Rattus norvegicus: one gene and its partners. The protein of the gene in region 1 interacts with the protein of each later gene in a biochemical or structural test. Links are inferred from orthologs where the notes say so. Each region holds a gene or a part of one and is shown on either strand. Other genes may lie near its edges.

Region 1 (9,443 bases):
TTCTGGTGTTAAAGACCTTCTCTGTGACAGAATGCCTCACTTCCCCTTAAAACATCCTGTTATTTCACAAGACTCCCATGTCTTATGGAGTGCTCCTCCAAGATGGGATGTTCTAACCTCAGAGGAAACGCATTTTCCCTTATATCACTTTCATTTGTGGGTCAATGCCTAGAACTTAAAATCTGGCATAGGAACCCGCTGGAACAGACGTAGAGAGATTACGAAGTGAATTTTGTATTTAGACAGGCATATACTTAGCTAAATATTGCATCTCTGTCACTGTCAAAGAGTGGGAGGCTAAAATGACATTGACTGGCTAAATCAACTGGCAATCTCAGCTACAGAGACATTCCTGAGAGTTAAACAAGACAATCCAAGTTGTGAGAAACCCGAACACCTGCTGGGTTTAGAGCCATCACTCACCTGTTGCTGCCCTTGCTGCCATGAGATGGTGGTGAATACTTTGTAACCACATCTTGCTGGCCACTTCTCTTCTTTTAAAAGATACTTTGAGCTTCATCCATTATATCATTTCTTTAAAAATTTGGTTTGTTTGAGACAGAGTCATGCCACGGGTAGCCCAGGCTTCCCTTAAACTCATTATGTAGCCTAGAGTGGCTTCGGAGCTTGCACCAATCCTCCCTCATCATCCTCCAAAGATGAGTGCAGGTTTAAACCATTCTATCTGGCTTGTAAAGACACCTTTAAGCATGTCTTCCTAAACTAAAGCCGTATAAAGAGGGAAGCCCGGGAAAGGTGACTAGAGCGCGCAGTGATGGTTGTCTTGAGTGACACACGGGGATGGGCCGGAGGGTTGTCTGAGGATTCAACGCTTTAGATGCACGCTGTTGTCCAAGTCTGAGTTCATGTTTTCGGCAGTGGGACCACAGGTGCCTCTGGATTTATTAAGGAACTATGACTTAAGAAAAACAGAAATGCAGAGACCAATCCTCTAACAACCAACGTGAGCCATGAATCCAGGACGGCAACTGATACAATTCTATATACGTGTGGTGCTTCAATTGTCTTCATGTATGCTATATTACACGGTATTGATCTGCATGTCAATATAAATCCTAAATGTTTTTTTGTAACTAGATTCCCTACATCTTTGTAATGCTTTTCTGGGGCTCACGCCCGGACTTTTCACATGATAAGTGTATACGCTATTTCTGATCTACAACCCCAACCTGACTTCCACCTTTTGAAGTGCTTTTACACATCCTCAACAGCTTTTGCTTGAGCAGCTCACTACAGATGGCTGAGAGCCTGGTGTTAGACAAGCAGGACTCTGGGCTTTATTTTGTCCTTATAATATCTCTACAACGTGGGCAGAACAGATGCCATCGCTACTGTTTTTTTAGACAGGAAAGAAGGAACTGAGGGGGCAAGGGACTTTTGTAAGGTCACATGGCTACCCAGTGTTAGAATGGAAGGTTCTGGGTCTCTTGTAGTGTCTTTTCCTGTGGTTCGTCCTACCGGCCAGCTAGCCATGGGTTACTCATCCATACTGCTCCATGCCAGGTGCCCTGTCCTTTGGAGCTGTGCTCACATGAGTGTTCTTTTCTGGTGTGTGGTGTGGTGGTGGTGGTGGTGGTGGTGGTGGTGGTGGTGGTGGTGGTGTGTGTGTGTGTGTGTGTGTGTTGTGGTTGTCCTGTGTGCTCTCTAGCTTCATCTGGCTTTTGTAACTCCAGGAGAAACGCTTCACTGGGTCTCTGTGATCCATTATTCCTAAGACCTCAGGTCTAGGCATCTTCCCAGAATTCCCCTTACACAGGAAGGCTGCTCAGTGTCCGGAACAGGTCGCCACACAATGGGAACAGAACAAGGAACAAGGAAGCAAAGCTGGAGGGATGGTGGTGTTTAATCTTTCACGAGAACTGATGCTGTATGCTCTGTAAAGCGTTCTCGTGGACGCCATCACATTCAGTTTCTCCTCAGTCATAAATGGAAATGTTAGGATCTTTCTCATTTTCCCAGAGAGAGCTGCTAAGAATGGTTTGCTTAAGGTACCTGTTAGGGTCCAAGAATTGCTGAAGGAAGACCCCAGACTCAAATAGCATGCAAAGGCAAAGAGTGTTTATTCTGCAGAAATTACCAGCACGCAGGGGTCAACCATTCATGGAAATGGTGAGAACCTGAGGGGCTTGCAGGCCTCCTTTAATTCAGTGCTAGGGGACTTTTCCAGAAGGATTAGATAACCTCTAATAACCTCTACTATGAATGGTAGGGGCAAAGCAGTGACGTTAGTATACTTTTGACTGGCTGCTATGTTAGTTTCATTATATTTGATGAGACCTTGAATTCCAGAGACCAGCTCAGCTCTGGCCCCATTATCTCCTCTGGCCAGGTGTCCAGGAGATTGTCTCAGCTCTGGAGATATCCCCCCTAGTTCAGTTTGTCACTGACTAAATTGTCAGTGGCTCCTTTTGAGAAGCCCAGTATGCAACCCAGGGAATTGAAAATTTTTATTCCTGGTATTGGATGTTATACCTCTCACACCTTTTTAGGACAGCTGGATTCTGTTCATTTCTATTTTGTAGTTTCCCACTGTGCCTCACTGCCTCTGAATAGCTCAAAGAGACAGGTGACGGCCAATGCCAATGAGAAGTTCTGAAGACCCTCTGTGGGTACATGGGGCAACACAGAGCTGAGTGAGTCAGGATGGGAACTCCTTCCGCTGGAGCCAGTGAGGCCTTCCACCTCCTCATCTCCAGATTCCTTTCCCTGTTCCTGCATCTCCATAGCCTCAAGCAGTGTCGTTGAAACCGGGACTTGTCTAGCCTGTGTGCAATGTGGAAGGGATCTGTCCAGCTGCAGACTGAAGTGAGCTAATTTGCTTTCTATTCCCAGGCCTGTATCTGCCACACTGCTGACCCAACTACTGCATCTATCCATTCCCCTGGGTTAGCATTATCACCACAGGGGTAAGCCAGGAGCATGGAACCTAGTGCTGAAAAAAGTGCTTCTTGAAAGGGCACCAGTCGTCTCAGTTTTGCTGGATCTCAAGAGGGGAACTACTGTCCTTCACCTGTCCACCTCTGTCTTCCTTGGGACAAGCCTCTTCTGGAAATCTAAACAGGGAAAAGCAAATGAACCTTATTCTCCTGGGCTATGTCTCCAATGCCCTTTTCTACTTCTACTAGAACTAGGCTGCTACAGGAATAGTTATTGGTCATAGCCTCAGGGATGATTTCCTCAACCACCCAAGAACTATTCCCCTTGCCTTTCCCCTTGGTCTATAATCTCAATGAGTTTAGAACACAAAGGCATAGGTGTACCTCCCAGAGAGACATGAAGTTTATGGGTATTTTGAGACACAGTCTGCCTTTGTTGCTCAGGCTGACCCTCTGACACATCATCCTCCTGCTTCAACCTCCTGCAGATAACCCTGGATTACAGGCAGCTACAGTGCCTCATCCCTTTCCTATCTTGGGTCATGTTGGGTTTACATAAAAATATGTTCAAATGCATAATAACTAAATTGGTCATGATAACACAGCAATACAGTCTCAGAAAACCAGTAAGTCCATGAGGGAAAAAAAAGTAAAACTCACAAGTATATTAAGGAAATCCTTACTATTGCCTGACGCCTAATCTTAGGATGAATAGTCTCTGTAACCCCCGCCCCCCCTCTCCGCCCCCGGCTCCCCGCACTGCCCGGGTAGCCCCCACCCCCAGGGTCCACGTAGGAAGATTCTTATCAATTATCCGTTTCTTTCAAAATACACCGCCTCCTCAAATTCCCCGATGACCTGTCTTCTAGATCCAAGCAGTTGGAGAAGTGAGGGTTTTGTTTGAATTATCCAGCCTCTTTTCTTTTGCCCTCCTTCCCTTTCCCTCTGCCCGGCCCGGGTTAAGAACTAGGATTTCTTGGTGCTCTCTTCCTGACCGCTAGCTCGCACTCCCTATGCTCTCCCGCCACTGGACTTCCTCCCCTTTAAGGCCCACCCCTCCCCCAAGCCCACGCCTCTCCCAAGCCCCACCCTCGATCCTCCCCTTTAAGGACTAGCCCAGGACGCTGAGCAGCCTGTGACGCGGCCGCCGCCCCCGGGCTGGTACTTCTCGGCGCGGCGATTCCCCCGGCCGGGCCCCGCCGTCCCGCGTTCCCCGGAGCGCTCGTCTCCGGGGGGAGGGAGCAGGGCTGGTGGGCGCCCGCGGCGCACAGCGGGACCCACGGGGCCCCGCGACCCGCCGAGCCTGGAGCCGGGCCGGGGCGGGGCAGCCGGCTCCAGCCCGGAGCAAACTTCGCCGCCGGGCGGGGCGTGGCGGGGACCCGGGCCCGAGCCGGAGGAGGGGGCTGCCGCGGCCCCTTCCTCTGCGCGCGAGTCGCCGGGCACCATGCTGTCGGGCTCTCCGGGCCAGACTCCGCCGGCGCCGTTCCCCAGCCCGCCACCACCCGCCCCGGCCCAGCCGCCGCCGCCGTTCCCTCAGTTCCACGTCAAGTCGGGCCTGCAGATCCGAAAGAACGCCATCACCGACGACTACAAGGTCACCAGCCAAGTGCTTGGCCTGGGCATCAACGGGAAGGTGCTGCGGATCTTCGACAAGAGAACCCAGCAAAAATTCGCCCTAAAGGTAAGTCTGGGCCGCCCGGGATCGCGCTGGGATCCGGTGCAGCTTCCGGTCACCCCGCGAGTGGCCGGCACCCGAGAGGACTCACGGGGACTGCCATGTTGGGGTGTGAGTGGGATCCAGCCGGGAGGCCACGCTTGGGTCCGGGACGGCCTCTGATCGCTTCACCCGGAGCCGAGGACACGGTGGCCCCATCCTCCCTCCCTCCTTCCTTTCTGCGGGCACAAAAGGCCCTTTACTCATTGAGCTGGTTGGTCGGTCGGTTTGGAGAAGTTCGCTCTCTGAGGTTTCCTTAACCCTACTCCTTATTTGGGAGCCGGAATGTGACTTCGCTCTCTCCGGCCTCGCGAGGTCGGCGCGCAGCACTGGGGCGCGTCGGCGCGGCGCTGGAGACTGGGGACCCCGCCTCCGTGTCCCGCGATTGTCTGGAACCGCCAGCGCCTGGCCTGCGCTACCCCTTAGGCTGCGCCGCGCTGTTTCCATTGCTCCCTCCACCGTTGGAAGCCTTGTCTGTAAGCCAAGGCTTGGCCCAGTGCTGATAAACTGGTCCCTCGTAGCTGGAGACTCAAAGGCAGGAAAACACTATTCCTGCATTTGGGAAACCCACTCTTAATTTCTCTACGTCTGCCTGCCTCTGTTTCTGTCTGTGGTAGTGGAGAATGGGAATTTCAAAAGGTCTTAGTGAACCACCGGACTCTGTCATTCAGGGTCACTGCAAAGTTTTCTTCTCTCAAGGGTTTCAGGTTACACCGTATCTCTAAAGGTCACTTGTCAGGTTTCTTTCTCCCGAGGTGTCTCAATGATTGGAGGAGCAAACTACTTCCTGTGTTATATTTTTCTCTTCCCCCTCAGCCCACACAACTTGCTTTGTTCCAGCCCTTCTATAGTACAGATAGACTATAGTACAGATAGAGTTGAGACTGTTGTCATATGCGGGACCAAAACCTGGGACTTTGTATGTTTTTGCTGTTTTCATCTTCAGCATCACATTAAAAATGTTGCTTGGTGTGAATGCTGGGGAGGGACTCTTAACACGGCCCCAAATACTGAAGCGTTTGTACTTTTCACTTCTCTTTCCCTGTTAGTAAGTAAGTGAGGAAAGGAGTTGATTGGGTCGAACGGTGGCTCTGACCTTGGGGACTGGAGGCTAAGGAACAGTTTGACCACAGTTAACTGTATTGTTGAGGAAGTGACAGATGTTCTTTCCGGAAACATTTCTCTCTCTGCCGTGCCATCTGCCTTTACCCATCAGCAGACCGGGGACACTGGCTGTTCATTCTCTTGCTTAGCTGGAACACAGTCTAAAGACTTCACAACAATAACAGAAAAACCTGCTTTACCCTTTCCTATTCTGTTTGAATACACTGTCCTCTGAAGTGCTCTAGGCTGTCAATTCAGATTTCTGGTATAGTTAACGGAAGTTCGTGTACTTTTCTCCTTTGGATAGTTTTGAAAGGAAAAGAAGCTAGCAGCATATTAAACCATCCTCATGCTAACCCTTCTCTAGTCAGGGGTAGGTGAAGACTGTTTTGACAAGCAGCCCGCTCCCAGATCTTCAAGGCTGACTCAGATGGCAGATTGCAGATTTCCCGTACATCTTTGTGTTGAGATTTTGAGTAGAGGAAGAAAGGAGAGCCAAGATGTTTGGAGAGTGGCAGCCGTGTCAACAGCATTTTCATACCCAAATATTGGCTAAGACATAATCGCAGCCTTGAGGGAAATCTGGTTAAAAGAAATCCTCTTTCAGTGGCACGCACCACCACTGCCGCCGAGTCTTACGCTTTGAAAACTTTAGGTGCTGAGTAGTGAAATGATTTCAAAACAGTGGGGGCAGCACGGGGAGAGGAAACAGTGGAACAGGCTGGGTTGATGATCCCTTTGGGTACTGGGAAGAGACCTGTGCTCTATACAGTGTACTGAGTCCATGCCTAGGGACGTAGTGCCCAGCCTGGCTCTCATGGGGATTTAGAAGCCTGTCTTATAGCCCCGAGGAATGATGGGAAATGAAGGCTGCTCCTAGGTTCTGCTCTTTGTTCTATTAAGTGAAACCGGGGCTTAAAAAAAATAAAAACTAACCTAAGGATGGCCCAGCTGTGAGGAGCGTTTGCTGCTTTTGCAGAGGACTCAGGTGGGTAACACCTACCTGTGACTCTAGTTCCAGGGGCTCTGACATCTGAGCTCTTTCTGTCCTCTGTGCTCACCATTATGCACTTGAGACACACACACACACACACACACACACACATGCACACGCATGCACACACACACACATGCATATGCACGCACACACAAACGCATAACACCCCTACACATAAAATAAGAATAAATAAGTAAAGGAACCAGTTGGTCCTGCTACTTTTCTTTATTCTCTTGGGAAAGCCGATGTTTAGATGCTTCTGGTGGACGCTGTCACCTTGCTTGCCCGTCCCTGCTTGCTAGCCCCTAGTCATGCACACACTTCCAGTCAGTTCGAAGCGAGTTGAGAGGTCATCACCATCCAACACATTCATTTAGTTGATGAGAAAACCCAGGCCCAGAATGAAGACACAACTTGCTGAAGGCAAGTGGTGATTCCTGCCATTCCCTTGACCGAGGCGAGAACTGAACCCAGTTCCTCGGTTTCCTAGTCTCGGGCCCCTCTCGACTTGTAACTGCCGTGGTATTGACAGCGAGTGTCCGGTTGCTGCTTCAGAGTGCCTGGGGTGTGAGGAGCTGCTCTGACCCTTGAGTTTTGGATGCATAGCAGGTCTCCCCACCCCCATTAAGGAGTTTGTGATAGACATCTTATTTATTACTCTTTGGGGATTCTGTAATTTCTTTGGTAGGGACACCCAGTCTCAATCCGTCTGTGTATGAGCTGTCTCTCTTCCCCATGGGGCTACATGACTTTGTTCTGCCTCACTGTGTCATGGTGACGCTTAGGTATTAGCTGAGCAAATTTAATTAAAGCTGGTATTATTGTCCCACTCTGCTGTTCAGTGCCGATTAGGTGAAGCGTGTTATTGCTTTGCAAGATACGGAATGTTGTCATAACTTATCTCTGTTTATCTTTCCATTGCGCAGATAGGGAAGCAAGGTCCTGTAGTTTCTTTCCCCAGTGTGCCTCCCTCACTAGGTCAGTGACGTAGCTGCTTTTGGTAACACGATGGGGAGATTAGAACCTCTCACCATTGTCTGGGACATTGTTGAAGGGCAACACCAGCGCTCTCTCACTGCCTGGGCCCCACCTCTCCAGCAATGTCCTCATTCTGTGTCCTCACTGGAGAGATGGCCCGATAGTGTGGCTGGCAGGGGCAGTCTCAGTTTGACACCTGCTGGATGAAAACAGGAGGGGAGGATCGTGCCATCCAGTTTGGTTCCAGGGAGTCGACGGTTTGTGGAGCATTGACCACATGTTTATTAGGCTAGAGGACAGAGGCATTAATGCCCTATAAAATGTTGGGGGTCAAGAAACCTATTTGGAGTAGGCAAGATCAGTAAATGTAGTCTAGGGCAGCATTGTCAGGTATGGTGGCCATTCTTTGTACATAGCTGTTTATGTAAAAGTAGCCAATATGCAGGCATAAAACCAAATGGAAAATGCAGTTGCCAGCCACAGTTTGAGCACGCAGAAGCTTTTTGATTCTCACAGGAAAGACTACTGGACTTTGCTGTTCTGGGGGCTGCATCGCGTGACCAGGAATAGAGGTGTTCTGAAAGACAGGCGTCTGCGAGGGAGGGAAGCCTTGGCTAGTGGCAGTGGGAACTTGTTGGGCCCCTGAGGAATGAACGGACCTGCCAGAAGTCTTGAAACTGGCTGTGGCTAGAGCTGAGGGGAAGAGCAGGAGACCAAGTAGGTCAGGAGCAGTGGGGCTCGAGGACTGAATGTAACTTGTCTTGGGGTCAAATCAGCTTTAAAGTGGTTTTTTTTTCTTTTTTGTTTGTTTTGCTTTTTGGGGAGAAGGGGGCAGGGCTTGTGGATTTTCTAAAGAAAGGCTAGGTGGCATTGAGGTTGGGGGTTTGTACATTTTTGGACAGAAAGGTTGAATTTCTGCCTTCAGAGAATATTTCTTTTGGAAGATGACAGCAGACATGTTATCCCGGCGTGATCCTGACCTTTCTACTAAAGCAGGACTCTGGGTCTCTCTTGATGCAGGATTAGAAATGGGTTAGTTAATATCCAACGGTCCTTTTTCATTTGAATTTTGGACTTTTCACGGAATCTGAAATCTCTAGTTAAAGTTATGGTTAGGTGGCTAAAAGTCGGGGGAGTTAGGGAGAAAAACCATCATGGGCCTCTCTCTCTGGGCCTCATATTGGTGTAGGGTCTGGGAAACATGGTGTTCTCTTTTTTTGGGGGGGAAGATGAATAGTTTTGAGGTGCCACAGCAGACCTGCTTTGCTCTCCCTGGTTGTTTGTGTGGAACATCGGTGTTCACTGGCCTGCCTCTTCTCTGTGTCACACCCTCCTAAGGGTCATGTTGAGGTCTCAGTCCCCCCCCCCCCCATCCACCATGTTTTTGTGGCTCCATACCTTGGATGGAGGTGAGTGGGCAGGGGAGAGTTATTGGTAGGAATGCAACGTCTCTTGATAGTTGAGTAATAATGGGCACTCCTTGGTCATCCTTGTCACCTCCTCTATCCCATTGGGGAAGAGGCTGGGCTGCTGCAGAAAGGCTCCCTGGTGTGTATCAACGCCTTGCTTGCTTGTGGGCAGTGTAGCCATATGCTGTGGAACCTGCTCTCGGTGTGGGTTTCCTAAGGCTATCTGGTTGCCAGCAGGAAGTGACGCTGCTACTGAAGACCTGTCAGCCTCAAACTCAGCTCCCTGGTCTTCTCCCAAGAAGCCTTTTACACACCTCCCTTGTCAATGGGGGCGTTGGTAGGGA
Region 2 (9,580 bases), on another chromosome or scaffold:
CTGAGCTAAATCCCCAACCCCCTTCTTGAGGTTTCTTAACCAATTTTTTTTCAATACATACACTGAACATTCACTAGGTACCGTTCCTTCTGTCTCTGAGGACTTGACCTTTTTTCTTTCTTTCTTTTTTTCGGAGCTGGGGACCAAACCCAGGGCCTTGCGCTTTCTAGGCAAGCGCTCTACCACTGAGCTAACTCCCCAAGCCCAAGGACTTGACCTTTTAACCAGGGAGTCTGATTGCTAAAAGTCTACAAATTAAGTACATTTTTAAATTTGACGTTCACTATGTTACCCAGACTGGCCTAAACTCCTGGTTCTGTCACCATCTGGGAGTGTAAGTATATCTTTAGATTAGGTACTGATAAATACAGAGCAGGTAGATGAAGATCATCATGGCTGGGGATCTTAGTTTTTATTTTATGTATATGGGGTGTTTGGCTCCCAAGTGTGTCTCTGCACCACGTGCATGCTGGTGCCCAAAGAGACTGAAGGAGGGCGGCAGGTCCCCTGGAACTGCGGTTGCAGAGGGTTAGGAACCTTGTGGTGCAGGGAATCAAACCAGAGCAGCCAGTGTTCTTAACTGCTGATCTATCTCTCCAGCCCCAGGAGAGATCTACTTTGAACAGACACCTGGAGGAGAGGACGGAGCCATGGGAACACGGGGAGATGTTCCAGATAACACTCTAAAGCTGAAGATGGGTGTGTTAGTGGAGCAGATGAGAGGAGTGAGCAGGGGAGGGGTTGTGGGGCAGGGGCAGGATGGACTCGTGTGTGTGTATGTGTGTGTGTGCGTCTGTTGATTTTTTTTTTTAAAGATTTATTTATTTATTATATACACTGTAGCTGTCTTCAGACACACCAGAAGAGGGCATCAGACCCCATTACAGATGGTTGTGAGCCACCATGTGGTTGCTGGGATTTGAACTCAGGACCTCTGGAAGAGCAGTCAGTGCTCTTAACCACTGAGCCATCTCTCCAGCCCAGTAGTGAGGATTTTGAACTCTAGTGTCCTAACAAGTTTCCCAGAGCAACTGACTACAGGGAGGAACGAGAGAATAGGTACTTTTAGAACTGGGTACTAGCAAGTGGGCTTTTGATGAGAGGGCCCTAGAAGCTGGAGTGATTTGTAGACTTGGCTGTGTCTTTAAAGCAGGTCTAAGGGGCTCGTGTCATAGCATGCCTAGTGTCCAGAGGCCAGGAGAGGGCTCTGGATCCTCTGGAATTGGAGTTGTCAGCCGTCATGTGGATCCTTTGCAAAAGAAGCAGGTTCATTCTCAACCTCTGAGCCATCTGTCCAGGACTGGAGAGGTCATACACCAGGGTTTGGCAGATGTTGAACAAGTACTCTGTACTTTGCTACTTCCTCAAAAGAACAAGAAACTTTCTGAGGGGACCAGTGCCAGGGGTGGTAGCTGTGTATCCCTTTCTTCTAGTGCCCATCCATTTCTTCCTCTCAATGTCCAGTGCTGCTTACCTCTACCTACCTGGTGCCTCGGGGACTTCTGGGTTTCTGTTCCCCTCTCCCAACCCTGTTCTACATACCAGGGCCTGAGCTCTTTCTCACAAGGGAGGCAGTTTCCTGCGAGAGGAGACCAAAGGTCAGTAGAATGGAGTGAAAGACACACAGGTTACGGGTATACTGTTAAGGGAGGAAGCAAAGGGCCTAGCAGGAAGGACTACCATACAGGGAGACCATCTTAAAAAACAAACGGAACAAAAGTCCTAGGGGCTATGAGACAGAGGGGGTAACGGGGAGGAGCTACAGCAATAGGTGGGAGGAGTTGGGGAGAAGAAAAGAGGAAGGATGAGAGGGAGGAGGCTGAGAGGAGGGGAGGAAGGGGAGGAAAACGAAGAGGGGCGGGGCGCGGGCCCTGACGCGGGCAGCTTCCGGGTGCGGCCCGCCCAGCCTAGGCTGGCTGCGGTCTCGGCCTTTTTCCTTGTATGGTCGGACGACGAGGCTGCCCTACCCCTGCGCCCCGAGAGCTGAACCAGACGAAGTTCCGGAAATGCCCGATCAGGGTCTGTAGATGCTAGAAGGCCAAGATTCTTTAGGTGTCTGGAGACACTCAAGTTGCCTGGTGTCGGGGCCCGAGATTCCAAATGGAGCCTAGAATTTTCACACTTCTTTAAAGCCCCTGCTCCAAATCGGGAGGGTTCATATCTATAATCCTAAACATTCATAAGGTTGAGGCAGGAGGATTGCCAGGAGTTGCTCAGGGTTCAGAGGGAAACCCAGCCTTCCCTTCTTCCCCACCCTGCCCTCCAAAAAAACCAAAATCCATAAAGAATCGGCTGAGAGGGCTCAGCAAATATAAAGGCGCTTGCTACTAAGTTATAAAACCTAGTTCGATCCCGAGACCAACCAACTTTGTGGAAGAGACCCGATTCCTGACTAACACACTACACGTTAAAACGATAAAATTGGGCATGGTGACCTGCGCTTGTTATCCTAGCATTTCAGAGGCTGAGGCAGGAGGTTGCAGAGAGTTCAGATCAGTGTGAGCCAGGGTCGACCTTATTTAAAAAAAAAAAAAAAAGTTAAACTAAAATAAGTCCTCTGTCAAGCTCGCCCAGGCTGTCTACGCGGGGTTCAGAGTCCCCTAGGGGCCGGCTTTGGGGTGACCCCTGACCCTGGCCGCCCGGGCTCGCCTTCCGGCACATTCCGTCCTCGCCGCCCCGCCCCACCCCTCCCTCCTTCCTTGGCCCTGTGGGGACGGAAACATCCTGTCCCTGCCCGAGCTGGGTCAAGAGCCGGAGGGACAGGCCTGGAGCACCCCTTAGCCAAGAGAACTAGCTCTCCTTGTTCCTTTTGGGTGACCTCATCCCGCCACGCCTCCTCAGGTGAACAACCGGGCTAACGTCACTTCCTGCCAGGTAAGCGCCCCCCCCCCCCCCCCCCCCCCCCGGCAGCAGTGCTCACAGGAAGGTCTGGAGGTCAGTTTACCCACCATCACAAGGCTGTGGACCACGGAAAAAAACAAATTTCATCACAGTTCACACTCAAGATTTTATTTAAAAATTCCAAAAAAACCCACAAAAATAGACTTGTACGGTAACAATATATTACTTAATATATTATAGTATATACTTAATACAGTATCAGTTTTAACATTACAAAAAGAAAAACGGAGTAGACGACCCAATATATATAAATACTATAAAATCTTATTACAATAAATAAAGTCGTCATAAATAAAGGGTCCATTGGTTGGGGCAGGGGCGTGGGGGAAAAGGGATTTGGCAATGGCTTTGGCTATTTGCTTTGGGAGGGAAATTTGAGCACCAGGATTCTCAGGAGAGGCTACAACCACCGGACACTGAACTTCGGGGTCTAGTAAAAATTAGGATAGTATTGTGGGAGCCGGCTCTTCACAGCACTTAAGATTCCAGGAGACCAGAGTTTCCGAGGGGCTGGTGCATACCTGTAACCCCAGAACTTGGAAAAGGCTAAGGCAGGATTATATTGAGTTCAAAGCCAGCCTGGGGTACCGTAATAATCCCCTATCTCAGAAACAACATAAGACTTGAGACCTGGAAGATCAACTGTCAACTGTACCCCTCAAACATGCTACATCTCAGGTACCCTAGGAACGGATCCACCCAAACACTGAATTTGCAAACTAGGGACCTGCCCTAGCCCAGCACCAGGGGAATGGGTTAATGCAACTTGGAATGTCCAGGAGGAGGGACTTAGAGGAGTCCCCCCAGGTCCCCACAGCAACGAGCAGTTCCCTCCCTCTTCTTTGAGATCTAGCTGATCCACACTGGGCAGGCACTTGTCACTCAGAGACAGAGATGCGATTGAAGATGGGAAGACGCCTTGGGGGTGCAGGGGGCTGAGGAGGCCCAAACACCCCGGCCTCAAAGACAGGCGAGTCTGACCCACCCAGGCTGCTGCCGCTGCTGGCGTAATCATCAGGGTCGGATCCCAGAGAGTGTGCAGATGGGCTCCGAGCCAGACCACCCAAGGGCCCCCAGATGGTGCTAGGGGTAGTAGACCTTCGGCAGGAGGGACAACAGGCTGGGGTAGGGTCTCTTCGAGACACAGGGGTCCCAGGGGCAGCAGAGAAGGCAGAAGGGGAAAGTGGAAGGTCCCCAGGCGGTGGTGGGGAGCTGGAAGGCGAAAAGGAGCAAGAGGACAGGGAAGGGCCAGAGAAGCCTGGAGGTGGTGGTGAGGTTCTGCGGCCTGAAGGCAAGCCTGAGAAGCTGATGCTTTGTCGGAGCACATGGGGCTGGCCAGGGAGAGCCAGGTCCTCGGTAGGGTTGTGGATGAAGTGGCATCGAGAGCCGTAGGGGCAGCGGCCCTGGAGGTAGAACTTGTGGCAGAGTTCCGTTTTGTACTTGGGGTGGCGATTGGCTTGGCGCAGTTCACCCGGGCCGTGGGCAAACTGGCACTTGGCCCCATAGCGACAACGCCCGCTCTCTGAGTAGGTCCGACAGAGCTCAGTCTTGTATCGAGAGGAGGTGGTGGGAGTTGCAGTAGGCGAAGTAGGTGAGGGTGACAGCTCAGGGCCCGGGCGGGGAGCCAAGGGTGCGAAACCAGGGGGTGGGGGTACCCAGCTGCAGCTTCGGCCCTCCACCAGGCTAGTGGAGCGGCCAGTCAGGCGAGAGGTGACCCCAGATGGGATGGAGTCCGATGAGTTTATGTTCCAAAGTCCTCCGGAGGACTCAGTTCCTCCGTGGTCGGGTGACAGGTCATGGCTCATCGACATAAGGCTCTAAGGAGAATAGGGTTCGGTTAGGCCACCAGAAAAGGTAAGGTGACGACGCCCCGCCCCTGTGGTAAAGCACTTCACGAGCTTGTCATTCCGGTTTGTGGGTTCTCAGCCTGAGCCCCACCCGGCTCACAAATTTCAGGGAGAACCTGACTACAGAGGTTTGGGTGTTAACAAATGACTGAAGCTAATCCAGAAGGATCTAGGGAGCCCAGTATCCCCGATGGATCGAGAGAGGGTACCCCCAAATCAAAGCACCACGGCTGCTCGCCAATTTTGGGCCTTTAGACCTCCCCGGATAAGACCGCCCATCGGGCGCTCGTTTCACAACTTAGAGAAGCCGGCCAAAGCTGACCCAGGAGGCCAGATCTCTCTAGGACTCTGACCGGGTCAACTCCCCGCTCAACTTCAACACCTGCCTGGCCGCCAAACCGCGCCATGGACAGCGAAGGGTACTAGACAGGTGTGGGGCCGCTTCCGCCCTGCGCGAGTGACAGCAGTGCGCCAGCTTTCCGTCCCCAGGGGATCGCCGGTATCTAGACCGAGGCGCCGGGCTCACGGGCTCCCTCTCTCACTTCCAGCCAGTTAGGGCTAGTCTGAGAAGGAATGGAGGCGTCCGGGGCCTAAGTTTGGTGCGTCGAGGATCCGAGAGTGCTGTCTAACCAGTACTCACCTCGTAGATGGCAGAGAGATCCATGGTGGCGCGAATGGCCATGGAGAAGAGACCGACAGTCGGTTCGCAGAAGTCAGGCTGTGGGACCGCCGCAGGAGCTTTCGCCTTTTATGGGGCGGCCCGGGGGCGTGGCCACGAGAGCTTCCCGGACGCGCCCCCGCGGCGTAGCCCGGCCGGCCTGGTACTAGGCCCCTTCCGCCCATCTGCTGGTTAGCATGCACAATGTGCCTGAACTTGGCTCTCCCACAGCCCTCTCCCACGAGGTTAGTGGGGAGGGCTGTGTACCACAGATTTGGTGGTGATGGGAGTGGGGCGTCTGACTAGTTTTCAGAGGTTGAAGGTAGTCGGGAAGAGAACTGGGGCAGAAGTGGGGGCAGGGCTCTAGGGACAATTGACAAGGGCAGAGACTGAGAGGGCGTGTGCGTGTGAGACAGACGGGGGCGGGGAGAAACAAGCTGGTAGAGACAGAGATGGCCAGAAGCTGAGAGAAAAACAAAGAGACAGTGAGAGACATTCACACTGGACCCGCTGGTTTGGGATTGTGATTCCAGTCACTTGGGGAGGCTGAGGCAGGAGTCTGGGACTTCAAGGCCTGGCTCGACTGTATTGTGGGTTCTAGGGCAGCCTAGGTAACTTAGTGAGACTCTTGTCTTAAAAAGTAAAAAGGCCCCAGATGTTGGCTCAAACTTTTAATCTCAGCACTTGGGAGGAAGAAGCAGAGGGATCTCTGTGAGTTCGAGGCCAGCCTGGTTTACAGAGCGAGTTCCAGGACAGCCAGGAATACACATGAAACAAAAGACTGGCATATGGTTGTGATCCTGGTTCTGACCTATACGGAGTGGGGAGACAATAGGGAGAGGGGCCTGGGACACAAATCTCAGTGAGGAAGCCGGTTACAGAAGGATGAAAAGGGAAGTTGAAATAAAAACTAAAACCTGAAGGCACAGAACCTGTAAGACAGTTGGCTCAGGTAGGGACCGCTCAGAACTTTACTTCGCTCAGCAGCGCCCTTCCAAGTCTAGCAAGGCTGGACAGAGCCCATTTACCCAAGCTGCACTTTAAATTAAGAGGTTTTGCTTCCGAAGCTCAAGGCTGTAACAGCTTGAGTCTTTTATTAGGGAGGAAGCTCGCCTCTATTAAAAATATGGGCCACCTTCAACGTTGAATGGGTTTCTTGTAGTGCAAGCAGTCTTTAAGCAAACTTTAAACTCTCTCGAGGTCTGTAAGGGTTTTGTTTTTAGGTCGGGTCTCCTTAGCAGGCCTGGAACTCGCGATCCTCCAGTCTCCACCACCCAAGTAGTGTTAGGATTACAGAAATAGCTGCCACACCCAAGTAAAAAGTGTTATTTCAAAGATATCTCCAGTGAAAAACTGTTCTTGTGTATGGGGGTTATCATTGCCAGGAGTGTAATTACAATGCCGGGAAGTTCTAGCACGGTGCGTTGCGCACTTGTATCGAGATAGGGAGATTCTGCCAGGCTTCTCACTGGCTTGCCTCATAGGAGAGGGGTGTGTGTGTGTGTATGTGTGTGTGTGTGTGTGTGTGTATGTGTGTATGTGTGTGTGTGTGTGCGCGCGCGCGCGCGCGTGTGTGTATGTGGGGAATCCCTGGTGCAGCGCTTTCTGGGGCCAAGGGGCCTTCCTGGGCTGGTCCCGTGAGCAGGGCGGGCCGTAGGCTGCTGTGGCACGGTTGCGGCCTCCCGCTTGCCCGTGACTCACTCGCTTAGGGCGGGGGAAGGGGGCTTCCTGGAAGCCGTGACGAGGACGCTCAGCCCGGACGCTTGGGTTCCTCTCTTGTAACCAGGGTTCCAGTCTGTTGTAAACAGTCTCGAGGACAACGGGAAAAGAAGGGAAGGAGGGGCACAAGAACTTGCCTCCCGCCCAGTTTACAAATCCCTGAGCCAGCCAATTTTAGGACCAAACGCAAAAAGAAAGGGTTGGGGTGGGGCATGCCGGGGGTTTTCGGAGGCCAGCTGGGACTGGATCATGGAGGAGTAATTCCAGTTTCGATTCCCTGGAGACTGGGAGCCTTTTGCCATCCCTGACTCAGCCTGACCCCTCCTCTATCTGCTGAGTCATTGGGACTAAAGTCTGGCAGCCTGGTATTGGGCTACACTGCTGGGGTGGGAGATAGAGGAGGGGTGTAAGCATAACAACCCCTCTGAAAATCAAGACTTTAAGCTGTAGGACTCAAAGTGAGACGTCATTATCTAAAATATGGGGTCAGGTACTCAGCTCTTTCCTGCCCCACATCGGGTGTCTTGGCGCTCAACCCTTGTTCCTTTGCTTGTCCAGACACACAGATCACCTTATTCAGCACCAAGAATCCAGGCCCTACTTATTCTCCTTTAGAACCCATCCCACCCCCCACCCCCCGCCTTACTCCCTAAGACCTAGGGGTCCAAGTCCCACCGACTTAAGAGATCTAGGCCCCAGCCCCTGTTCTCTGGATCTAGGAGTCCCGAGTTTTGTCCAGTTCCCGTTTGTGTGCCCCAATCCCAGGAGGAAGTTCATGGCCTGACTCCTCCCTGCTCCCCACGTAGCCAGCGGGGAAAATCCGCGGCCCAGGCAGTGGCGGGAATCCCCTCTGGAATGACGGTGGGGAAGGGGACGGCTAAGGTCTCGCGGGACACGCAGCCACGTCCTGTGCACTCTGGGGTTGGGGGCTGGGGTAGAGAAAGGGGCGGAAACCAGAGAAGCTAAAAATATAGCAAGCACTTCCGGCCTAGGGGGAGGTGAACTCAGAGCTGAGTTTCCAGAAAAACAAGCAGGGACGGGAAACGCGGGGGTGTGAGAGCCAGTGGGCGGGCTGGGGCCGTGTACACGCGGCACGTGTGTGCCCGTCGTGATTGCCTGTGAGTGTGGTCCAGGCAGGGTGTTCCAGAGGGGACAACCAGTATGCCAACTGTAGTGTGCCCAGGGGATTGGGAGCTGTGCTTGCTCTGCATGTGTTGTGTGGGGAGCTCCTAGTTATGTAATTGAGGGCGCAGGTGCGGGGACGTGCCTGTGACTGATGCTTAAGTTTTCCATAGAACAGGGTTCTGTAAATAAATGTGAAGCCACCTGTCTGTGTCACTGACTTCTCCACATGTGCTGCAAGTGGCCTCTGGAGAATTGTCAACTAACTACTGCAGCTGTCTTTGAATGGACTTCATGGGAACTGCAACTTCCACCCCACCCCCACCTATCTGTGTGTAATTGAGCCACCGTGGGATCTGTGCTAAGTGTGCCATTCCTAGCAGGTGTCTGGGTGCTGGGATTGTACACATAGGACCTTGAAGTAGAGTATGTGGGGATTCTGTGGCTCACTCAGCGCTGTTATACTGTGTGTACAAATGTTATTTGTGGGTCTGTGCCCTTATTTGTGGCTGTCTTGGAGGTTGCCTGTTCCTGACAATGTGGTAGACCTGAGTCTGGGCATAGTTCCTCTGTGGACCAGTCATAAGGCAGTGAAACCAGTGAACTTTGGTGCTTGACGTAGCTGCAGGCGCGTGATGGGGAGTGCTGCGGCTTACTGATTGTGTGGCGCTCCTGTGTCTGCTTCTGTGGGCAGAACAGACTTGCACACACCCGCACCTAGATGCTGAGTGTCTGAGCCAATCTTATCTGTCCCCAGTGAATGAGGCTGCTCTGCCACAGAGCTGAGTCAGCCTGTGATGGGCAAAGTCTTGATGGGGTGAGAGATAGTGGGTTAAATGGTGGTTACAGGGTTGGGTAGTCACGTGGTTAGATGGTTGCTTTAGTGTTTGTGGTACTTGGTCATGGAGCAGGGTCCATGTGTGTGGGAGGATGGCCAATGTGCTAATCTCTGCTGGAGGTGGGGCATGTGCCCAAAGTTGGTCTTTTTCTTTGGGGGCAAGCAGCCTGTAGATAGGTGAAGCAAGTTAGCCTCGAACTTGCGGCAAGCCTACTTCTCAAGAGCTGAGATTACTTTGGCTGTGGTTTCCATCTCATACACATAGTCCCTGGGGTGGGGTTTTGTACAGGCCCCCACAACCTCCCCTGTGCCTATAAGGCTGGGAGAAGGCAAATCTTAGCAAGGACCTTCATGGTCCATCTGGGCTTTCTCCCCTGTGCTCCCTGAATCTAGCCCAAGCCTCTTCACTCTTCCTGCCAGGGGCTGGCCTGTGTTCTGCATTTCCTTCAATTTTGCTGAGGGTGCATCCCAAAGACCTAATTCCCTTTCCTTCAA
Region 3 (9,602 bases), on another chromosome or scaffold:
TCTCTGAGTTTGAGGCAGCCTGGTTTATACAGTAAGTTCCAAAACAACCAGACCTACAAGGAGAGACCCAGTCTTAAAACAAGACAAGACAAAACAAAAAACCCTTGGGCCCGTGACTTCAGACATGATTTGCATGTGCAAAGGCACAGGGGTAGGAGGAAGATGACTTATTTTCCCTTAAATAAGAGCACAAAGAATGCCCTGGGGGTGTGGAAGTAATAGTGAAAGTCAAGGGCTGTGGTTTAAGAAGAGGGGTTTGTTCTCCTTAGGCCCAGGCAAGAGGGTACAGCCAAGGGAAGAGTTTCCAACTACTCCTGAGGGATCTGAAACAATTAACCTAAGAATGGAGGTTTAAATACCCCATTAAGGTCCCAGCGAGGATCAGGGTTGGACTCTCAGTAGTCTAGGAGATAGCCTTGTATCTTCACCTCTTAAGGACTCAAACCCAGGGCAAATGCTTCATTTACAGTAGGATCTGGACTGCCCTGTCCTTGGGGTCATTGCCTGGTTCTGGAGGATGTGACAGCTCAATGATACTAAGTGCTCTGAGGGGCTTAGGACTTAAACACATAGGAGACTGGTTTCTACCCCTATTCGAAGACTCCCATGCCTACTGTTTGCATTTGTAGTAATAATCAGAATATTCAGAAAGGTTACACAACAGGTTCTCGTGACACATTCCTAGCCCACCTGACTCTTCCCAGGCTCCCCTGAATACACAAATTTGAGGCCAGCCTAGGCAACATAGCAAGACCTCGTGTCAATAATAAATAAAAATAAATCACAGCTAGAAGACAGAACCAACACTTGAATCCCCAACTGCTCAGTGCCAGTTCCTTGGGTCCATCCTTAGAGGATCTGAATCACTGTGCCTGGGGTCCACAATCCAGACAGGTAACCCAGGTAACTTCAGGGCTTCACTGGGCCAGTTCTTTTTACCTTTAACACAGGGAAATCGAGGCCACCCCCAGGGCTCAAGTAGCAAGGACTGGGAAAGATCAGATTTCAATCCGAAGCCTTTGGGAGATTTCGCAAATGACCGGGAGCCTAGGAGGAAACGCAACCCCTCTAGGCTCTCAGAGGCGTCGCCTGGCGCCACTGACCGGTTCCGCCTTCTGGGGGCAGGCGACCCCGCGCCGCAAGCTCCCCCTCAGCAAGGTCAACTGGTTCGGCTCGGGTTTGGCGGACTCACACAGTCTCCTCACCTCCGGACTTCCCGAGGACTTTCACTTTCTCGGGTCTCAAAACCTCGCGGCCCCGCCCCCACCCCCAAAATACCTGCGCGGCCGGGGACGCGCGAACCGGAAGTCGGCGACAGCGGCGCCCCCCGGGCGGAAGCGGCGGCGCAGGTGAAGGCGGCGGCCTGTGCGGCCCGGCGCATGGGAGGCCTGGGCTCGAGTCTCTGGAGCCTCGCGGCTTGGCTCAGGCTGGCTGGGTACCTGCGGCCTACCTGCGGGTCTCCGGCCTCTGCGCGGGCCTTGTGTCCTAGACGCAGGGTTAGCGAAGGGTTAAGGAGTGCTCCCTCCCCCCACCTCCCTGGAAAGTCCCCTAAATGACGTTGCAACCCGACAATTAGAAAAAAGAGTTTAATTATAGAGACGGGCTCTGGGAGCAGGAACAAACCCGGGCGGTCGGCGGGGCGGGTAAACAACCCGGGAGCGCGCCGCCCGCGGAGCCCGCGCCCCGGGAAGCGGGGGAGGGGAGGCCCAAGGGAGCTGGGAAGGGGTAGGAAATTCGAGGAATCGCCTTTCTTCTTTGAGAGAGAGAGAGAGAAAAAAAAAGAAAAACAACAAAATTACTTAGGCAGTTCGGAGTGTCCAAGCCCGCTCCGCCGCCCCAGGGACAGCACCACCGGGCGAGGTCGCCCCTCCCCGGTCAGAGTCTCCCGCAGCTGAGCTCCGCAAACACTCGGGAGTTTAGACCAGCCGGGCGGGTCGTGCGGAATGAAAAGCCGAAATAGCTTCACATCAGGACTCAGTCTAACCTTGTGGTTTTAACGCACCCTGTTCTGTCCCGAAATCTGGAACTCATTACCTCATCACCGAGAAACGGCACGAAATCCGCGCGCACACATCAACCCCCTTGGAACTGGGGAGGGGACCGAGCAAACATCCCTTTAAAAAGAAACCTACAAACCCGAATGATTTAAATTAAGGTGGATGGAAGTTATTTCCCTTCTTGCCGCTTGCCAGATTTCAAGAAAAGATGAAAAATGGGAGCGGGGGAGGGAAGCAACCGGCGGCTGGACAGCAGCAGCACCAAAACCCAGGGGCAGCAGCCGTGTTAAAAATGGGGGAGCCATCAATTCAAGTCACTGGAGACGAATCAAGCAGAGACTCCGCGGGGAATTAATGTTAGGCTCGTGGGCTGCAGCAAAAGTCGTGTTTCGCAAAGTTAAAAGAAAAAAAACTTGTTTCTAAAACAGTTGTGATTTGGATGGTTTCCCTGGGTTTGCCCAGAAGCTGGCGATAAATAAAGTTTTGTTTTTTTTTTTAAAGTGTGCGTGTGTGTAAGGGGTGGTGCGCCTCGAACGCTCCGCTCCGCCCGCTCCGTCCTTTCCAGAGAAACGTACTTGTAATGGGGTGACCTAATTACATCGCAATGGAACTCGCTCGTAGCCACTCGGCTCACCGGGTTTCATAACAGACCCGGCGGCCTCGAATGCTGGGAAGAAACGTGCGAGGCCTGGGCGGCGCGGCCCGCGATTTCCGCCCGGGTCTCCACTGCAGCACGCGAGCCTGTGCCGGTGGGAGGCAGCCAAACCTAATAGTAAATAAACACATAGTTCGCGGTTTTAAAGGGCGGTATAATTCATTGAAGGCCATTGGGTTCCGTGGGTCTTATTGCTTGGCACCCCCAAACAGGGCATAGTGACAAGCCATATGTTCCGTTCGCGTGGGGGCGGGAGAGCAGCAAGAAGTTAAAAGTGTCGCTTCCCCCACCTCTACCTTCCTTCTTACCAAAGTAACTTCTTTCCCCTTGTTTTTAACATTCGGGGATGTGTGGAGGAGGTAGCCCGAATTCAAAGCGCGCGCGGAAAGTGACTTGTTGCTCTTTTATTTTCAAGGGGCGCCCATGAAAATCTGGATTTTTCTGTAGTAGCAAGTTTAAAGATCGGTTGTGTGAACGAGACGCCCCAACTAGGTCTGTCTAAAAGAATTCTGCCCAGGCAGTGGTCTAGTCCACGGTGCCCCCACCCTACCGGGCCAGCGCAGGCTGCGGGCCAGCACGCGTGTACACGAGCGCTGCGCGCAAAATCCTGCTGCTCTCGCCCCCGCCAGGCTGGGCTCTCCGGGAGGAAAAGTTTCTCTGGTCACCCCTACTTCTCTTTCCCATTGGTGGGAAACAACAAACATAAAACTCTTGACTCGAACATTTGGGGTGCTCCGCATTCCTAAACTCCTCTCCCGGCTCGTTTTGCGATGGGTAGCCGGGTGTGGACAGGGAAGTCAGGAGACGGTAAGTCGTGCGGGAACTTGGAGAAGTTTCAAGGGACACTAGCTCAAGATGGAAACCGCAGCCCTGGCCCGCTCGGGACCAGCTTCAGCTCCTGCTAGAGAAAAAAAGAGTAAGAGAGGAGAGGAGAGAAAGGGGGGTTGGGGGAAGAGAGTCGAGCCCGCCTTCCAACCCTTAAAAAAAAAAAAAAAATCAACAAACACAACAACCAGAACTCAGAAGGGGGTGGAATGAGTGATGTCACAGAGCCGAGCAGCGAGGCTGACAAAGGGTGGGCCCCCCTCCCCCTCTGCCCGGCTCGGCCCAGGGGAGGGGCGCCCCCAGAGCCCGGGAGCGGAGCCCGCGGACTCGAAACTTTTCCTCTTTAAGAAAAAAAAGTTTTGCGCCGCTCCGAGTGCTTTTTTTTTTTTTCCGCCTTCTTTCCTCGTCTCCCTCCCCCTTCTTCCTTTTGAAAGTTTCTTTCCTCCCTCCCTCCCCCTCCCTCCCTCTTGACCGCATGGCTGATTCAACCTCGGTGTCAATCAACTTTTTTTCCACCTCCTCTTCTTCATTTAAATAAGTTTAAAGCTCCTCCTTCCACCCTCCCAACCCTCATATCTTATAAATTGGGCTTTGCTCGCCGCAGCCCGGGAGAGTCAGAAAGGCGAGGGGCGCCGGGAGCAGGCGTGTGGGACTCCTGACCGGAGAGCCGGAGGCTGCGCCTTCCCCGCACCGGGACCTTCACGACACAACAGATCCTAGTCCTTGCCCCGTGCGAACGCCCACGATGACCACCACCCTCGTGTCCGCCACCATTTTCGACTTGAGCGAAGTTTTATGCAAGGTAAAGTAGGGCGGAGCGTTGGCTTTTTGAAAGTTTCTCTTGGGCTTAAAGAAACTAAAAGTTTGGGTCTGGGGAAACAGCGTAGAGGGAGTGAAGGACTCATTGCTTGTGTTTCCCTCCATGGTGAAGGAATTTGGTCATGTCGTCCTCACTCCCAAGTTTCAGGTCCCAGGTGAAGTTCTATATGAATTCGGGGAGCAAAGTTCTGGGCGACTGCTCCAGTTTGCGGGGCAAGGAAGTGCGGAACAGTGGTTAGGATTGGGACAAATTTTGAAGGGTTCTTTTCTGCATGGTGCACCGCTGGAGCTGGGGTAAGCGGATGGGTTCGGCTTCACGGTGTGCACTCTGGGTTTTCTGTGCCCGCTGGAGGTGTTCGAGGTTACTCAACACCTTTTGCTAGCCTGTGGCGTAGGGGTCTCTAGGAAAAACCAAGACTTAGGGCGGTATGTGACTGGGAGAATTTTCTTGTCTGCTTTGGGAGGCTAATAGGTAATGCGGCGAAGAAAAAAGACCAACTTAAGGTTCAAAAAGATGTAGGCAAAGTGACTCTGTAGTGGAGTTTGTCCGCCCCAGCTGAACTAGGCTTCCTCCGCGAGAGCTGGTCGATCATGCTGCAAACTTTGGGCTGAAAGTGTTTGCTTACCTGTGTGTGAGGCACTACGGTTCGTTGACTAAGGAATAGGGGAACAAAATGCTGCCAGACCTCAAGTTCCCGCCAGTTAGGATTTAAGAGGGCCAAAATGGGGTAGTTTGCCAGTCAGGTTTTCGGAAAGCAAAACAAAACACAAACTTTTAAAACCGTAATGTTCCAAGAGTGCGGTTGAAATGTTCAACTCTGTGGATGTTGTTAATTTTTTACCCACTCTACATCCCCCAACCCCCCAATTTGAAAGGCTGAAGCTGCTAGGCTACTTTTAATTGCTGAACTGTTTTTGCCTTCCCTTAAACACGTCGGGTCATGTTGCTCTCTTCCTAGCTTGCTGCTCCTGTCGATGCAGCTGCCAAGGCCCCAGGGCTGCAGGGTTGGGGTGCAGGGCCTTGCCGGAGCAGTAGAGCAACATCAAAACTTTGCATTTTCGGCTTCTTTCCCTCCCTGCGTTTTTCCAAGTCTGTTTGCCCCGGCGGCTGCCTGAGCTAGGCAACTCCATCCTTCTCGTCCCTGCTGCCCGCTCTTTGATCTATTTCTCTTTCTTTTGCCCCCTCCCCCCGCAGGACTTTTTAAATGAACCTCATTGTTGGGAACCGGCTCTCCTCTGGGTTCCTGTAATCCGCTCGGTGGGGTGGTTGCGGTTACAGGGTTACCGATTCCCGATCCCCTGCTGCTGATCCTAAGGGACTAACTTTAGAATTTGCACAATGACACACACCCACATGTGTCAGGGGCCTGGAGATAACTTTCAAGTTTCCTACCCCCACTCTTTCTAAATCTTAGGTCGTTTGAGCAGGTGACTAGGGTTTGTCCTGTCCCTGCTCACCTCCCCCCACCCCTTCAACACACACAATTGACTGAGTCGTGGAGTGTGTGTGTGCTGGTACGTTCTCATCTGCACTTTGGTTCAAGATTAAACACTGGAGCTCTTATCCAGACCTCTCTTGCAGCCAGGAGACCAAGTGCAAAGGCATCTTTCCAGTGAAAGGGGGTGGGGAATGCTGGGAGTTGTCCCTCCCAGGGTCTGGGGTACCCTTCCTGAAGCTTGGGGGCCATGCATTTGTGTTTTCAGACACCATATAGCCTTCTCCCCACATCCCAGACTAGGCCCTTCTGAAAGGAAGGAAAAAGTGCAGTTTGAAGACCTGTTGCCAAAGGAAGGGTACATTTGTGGAAGAGGAAATGGAGTGTGGGGCTAGATTTTATGTGTGTGGGGGTGGGGGGAGGGGATGGCGGGTAAGCAGGGACTGATTGAGAGAGGATTTGGCTCTGGTGCTTAGTCTTCTAAACTTCTAAACCTGGTTTACCTGATTCTGTTAGGGGAAGAAAAGTTAGAGGGGACTGTCTTGTGTGAAAGATTCTGAGTTAAGGAATGTTTGAACCAGGGCCTGGATTTTCGAGTGAAAAAATTGGCTTTGGGGGTCAAGCTGCGTATCGGGTCAGCATGGAGCAGGTTGAATACGTAACTTTTTTTCTTCCACACAGGGCAGGGTTTTGTAGTTTCTTATGAGCAGTGCCAAAATAAACCCCAGGTGGCTCCTTTTAGAGAGACAGGCCTATCAGATGAAAGGTGCTGTCCTTTGTGGACACCATGCCCTGACCTCGTGGATGTCCTCAGTCACTCACCGGTCCTTTTCTCCCCCCTCCCTCCAGGGTAACAAGATGCTCAACTACAGCACTCCCAGTGCTGGGGGCTGCCTGCTGGACAGGAAGGCAGTGGGCACCCCTGCTGGCGGGGGCTTCCCTCGGAGGCACTCGGTCACTCTGCCCAGCTCCAAGTTCCATCAGAACCAGCTTCTCAGCAGTCTTAAGGGTGAGCCGGCCCCGACCCTGAGCTCACGCGACAGCCGCTTTCGAGACCGCTCTTTCTCCGAAGGGGGCGAGCGGCTGCTGCCCACTCAGAAGCAGCCTGGGAGCGGCCAGGTCAACTCCAGCCGCTACAAAACGGAGCTGTGCCGCCCCTTCGAAGAAAACGGTGCCTGTAAGTACGGGGACAAGTGCCAGTTCGCGCACGGCATCCACGAGCTCCGCAGCCTGACCCGCCACCCCAAGTACAAGACGGAGCTGTGCCGCACCTTCCACACCATCGGCTTTTGCCCTTATGGGCCCCGCTGCCACTTCATTCACAACGCCGAGGAGCGACGCGCCCTGGCGGGGGGCCGGGACCTCTCCGCTGACCGTCCCCGCCTCCAGCATAGCTTTAGCTTTGCTGGGTTTCCCAGTGCCGCTGCCACCGCCGCTGCCACGGGGCTGCTGGACAGCCCCACGTCCATCACCCCACCCCCCATCCTGAGCGCCGATGACCTCTTGGGCTCACCTACCCTGCCCGATGGCACCAATAACCCCTTCGCCTTTTCCAGCCAGGAGCTGGCGAGCCTCTTTGCTCCTAGCATGGGGCTGCCCGGGGGAGGCTCCCCCACCACCTTCCTCTTCCGGCCTATGTCCGAATCCCCTCACATGTTTGACTCTCCCCCCAGCCCTCAGGATTCTCTCTCGGACCATGAGGGCTACCTGAGCAGCTCCAGCAGCAGCCACAGTGGCTCAGACTCCCCTACCTTGGACAACTCAAGACGCCTGCCCATTTTCAGCAGACTCTCCATCTCAGATGACTAAGCCAGGGTAGGGAGGGACCCCCTGCCTCCTTCACCTCTCCACCCTGCACCCCATCCCATACCTTCACCTCCCCACCCCCTAACTTTCCTTCAAACCCTACATTCATACATTTAAGCTCAACCCCTTTCCCAGAACCTTGGTATGTTACCCTTCCCCCAACATAAGGACAAGTCAATTTGTTGGTAGCTTCTGGCTTGAAAACCCCCTCCCTCCATTTCATAGCCCACTTAACCACGCATAACAGAGTCCCATCTTTGTCAGTAGATGCCTTTTTTTTCGGCTTAAGCCTTAAGTGCCAAATCACAAAAGAAAAAAAGCAGTAACCGTTTACAGAAGCAACTTAGTGCCTTGTAATCTAACTTTGTCACTGTGACTACATTACCTCTTCAACGCCAGGGGGCACCCGTGGGCCTCCCAGAGCCTCTGCCCGTGGGGTTTGGGGGCGGGGGAGCGGTGACCCGCAACCAGCAGCTCCCTCAGCTGGCCACACAAGTGCACCTTCCTTTCAGTCTCCCGCACATTCTTCCTCTTCCTTGTAGATACTTGCCTCCCTCAGAGAATTGTTGCTGGACTTGGGGGGGGGCGGGGGTTTGGGTGGGTGGGGACCTATTTTGACATTCAAAACCTTTTTTTTTCCCAGCTCGAACCCCTGTTGACTAATCTTGCCTGGGTTTGTGTAGGTCTCCAGGGACAAAGGTTGAACAAGTTGGACGAAGGTTTTGACATAAGTGGGACTTTGTGATTTAATTTCTTTTTTTTCTTTTTCTTTCTTTTTTTTTTTAAGTGGGGAGGAAGGGGAAACTAGATGGACTATGAGAGACTTGATTTTGGTGCTAAAGTTCCCCAATTCATATGTGACATCTTAAAAATGACAACAAATGAGAGAAAAGCTAAAAAAAAAAAAAAAAAAAAAAAGAAGAAAACCATGTAAGGGGTGAGCAGTAATGGTATTCATTCCACATACAATATCTGTGTAAAACAATTTCCTGTAGACGTAGCTTTAATGGATTTTGCTCTAGAATACCTTAGGTCTACCTTAGAGCCCTCACGCCATGCTTTTGTCCCTGGGTTTAAACTTCATCTAACTTTCAGAAATTGGAGAGCAAAAATGTTGCTTTATCACTGCACATCAATATAAAAAAGCTTATTTAACTTATCAAGACGTATTTATTGCCAAACTATGCTTTTTTTTTGTTAATTTTGTTCATATTTATCGGGATGACAAATCCATAGAATATATTCTTTTATGTTAAATTATGATCTTCATATTAATCTTAAAATTTTGTGACGTGTCTTTCCTTTTTTTTTTCCACAGTTTTAATATATTATTCTTCAACAACATTTTTGTAACTTTACACTTTTTTTTGGTTATTTTATTTTAAAAAAATGAAAAATTAATTTAAAAAAAATGCAAAAAACTGTTGGATTATTTATTTTAGAAATTCTCCCCTTTGTGTTGGACTGCAAATTGAGTTTCTTTCTCCTTAGGCCTTTCACAGGTAGGACTGAGAATGTATAAGTTCTGTGACAGTACAGAAGGAAAACCACCATTTATGTATAGCTTCTAAAAGGGAAAACAAAAAAAAAAAGAGAGAGAGAGAAAAACCCTTTGAATTCCATGTGCCCATCTCAAGACATTCCGCTTGCAGATTTGAGGTTCTGGACTCCAGGTTGGAGTTTTCCGATGTTGATGTAAACAACTGGCACACACATAAAGATGAATGTAATTATTATTCCTCTTGCTGGTCACTACCGTCGCTTTCTATTTCTCTTTCTTTGTGTGAATTTATTTAAAAGAAAAAAAAACTTTTTGTAACGACTATTTGCAGTTTAAAAATCAATAAACCCCGTTTTTTCAAGAAATGATTTGTCTATAGGTGTTTTTCCTCGTGGGTGGGTCTGATGCTCCTTGGGGCATCGAGGAGGCTGGTCTTTCATCCTTAAAGCTTAAACCCATAGCTTTGGATGTTGATGCGTTAAGTTCCGCTCAGCTTGGGTGGGGTGGAGGGAGGTCCTGGGTAACCTGTGTGTCCTTGGTTGCTTTAGGGAGCTATAGCAGGC

What was found.
Region 2: of the proteins of Mapkapk2 (region 1) and Zfp36, one has a biochemical effect on the other in vitro, tested with the Homo sapiens proteins (2 studies listed by BioGRID). The link is inferred for Rattus norvegicus from reciprocal best matches to the Homo sapiens genes MAPKAPK2 and ZFP36.
Region 3: of the proteins of Mapkapk2 (region 1) and Zfp36l1, one has a biochemical effect on the other in vitro, tested with the Homo sapiens proteins (2 studies listed by BioGRID). The link is inferred for Rattus norvegicus from reciprocal best matches to the Homo sapiens genes MAPKAPK2 and ZFP36L1.

The regions. Positions count from the first base shown.
Region 1 is NC_086031.1:45,106,924-45,116,366, reverse strand, and holds the start of Mapkapk2 (MAP kinase-activated protein kinase 2), read left to right. Parts: upstream 1-4,040; 5' UTR 4,041-4,341; coding exon 4,342-4,578; intron 4,579-4,591; exon of another isoform or gene 4,592-9,443. UniProt on the Homo sapiens protein: Stress-activated serine/threonine-protein kinase involved in cytokine production, endocytosis, reorganization of the cytoskeleton, cell migration, cell cycle control, chromatin remodeling, DNA damage response and transcriptional regulation.
Region 2 is NC_086019.1:92,793,639-92,803,218, forward strand, and holds Zfp36 (mRNA decay activator protein ZFP36), read right to left. Parts: upstream 5,471-9,580; 5' UTR 5,431-5,470; coding exon 5,389-5,430; intron 4,719-5,388; coding exon 3,780-4,718; 3' UTR 2,990-3,779; downstream 1-2,989. UniProt on the Homo sapiens protein: Zinc-finger RNA-binding protein that destabilizes several cytoplasmic AU-rich element (ARE)-containing mRNA transcripts by promoting their poly(A) tail removal or deadenylation, and hence provide a mechanism for attenuating protein synthesis.
Region 3 is NC_086024.1:104,663,198-104,672,799, reverse strand, and holds Zfp36l1 (mRNA decay activator protein ZFP36L1), read left to right. Parts: upstream 1-4,109; 5' UTR 4,110-4,222; coding exon 4,223-4,279; intron 4,280-6,581; coding exon 6,582-7,541; 3' UTR 7,542-9,152; downstream 9,153-9,602. UniProt on the Homo sapiens protein: Zinc-finger RNA-binding protein that destabilizes several cytoplasmic AU-rich element (ARE)-containing mRNA transcripts by promoting their poly(A) tail removal or deadenylation, and hence provide a mechanism for attenuating protein synthesis.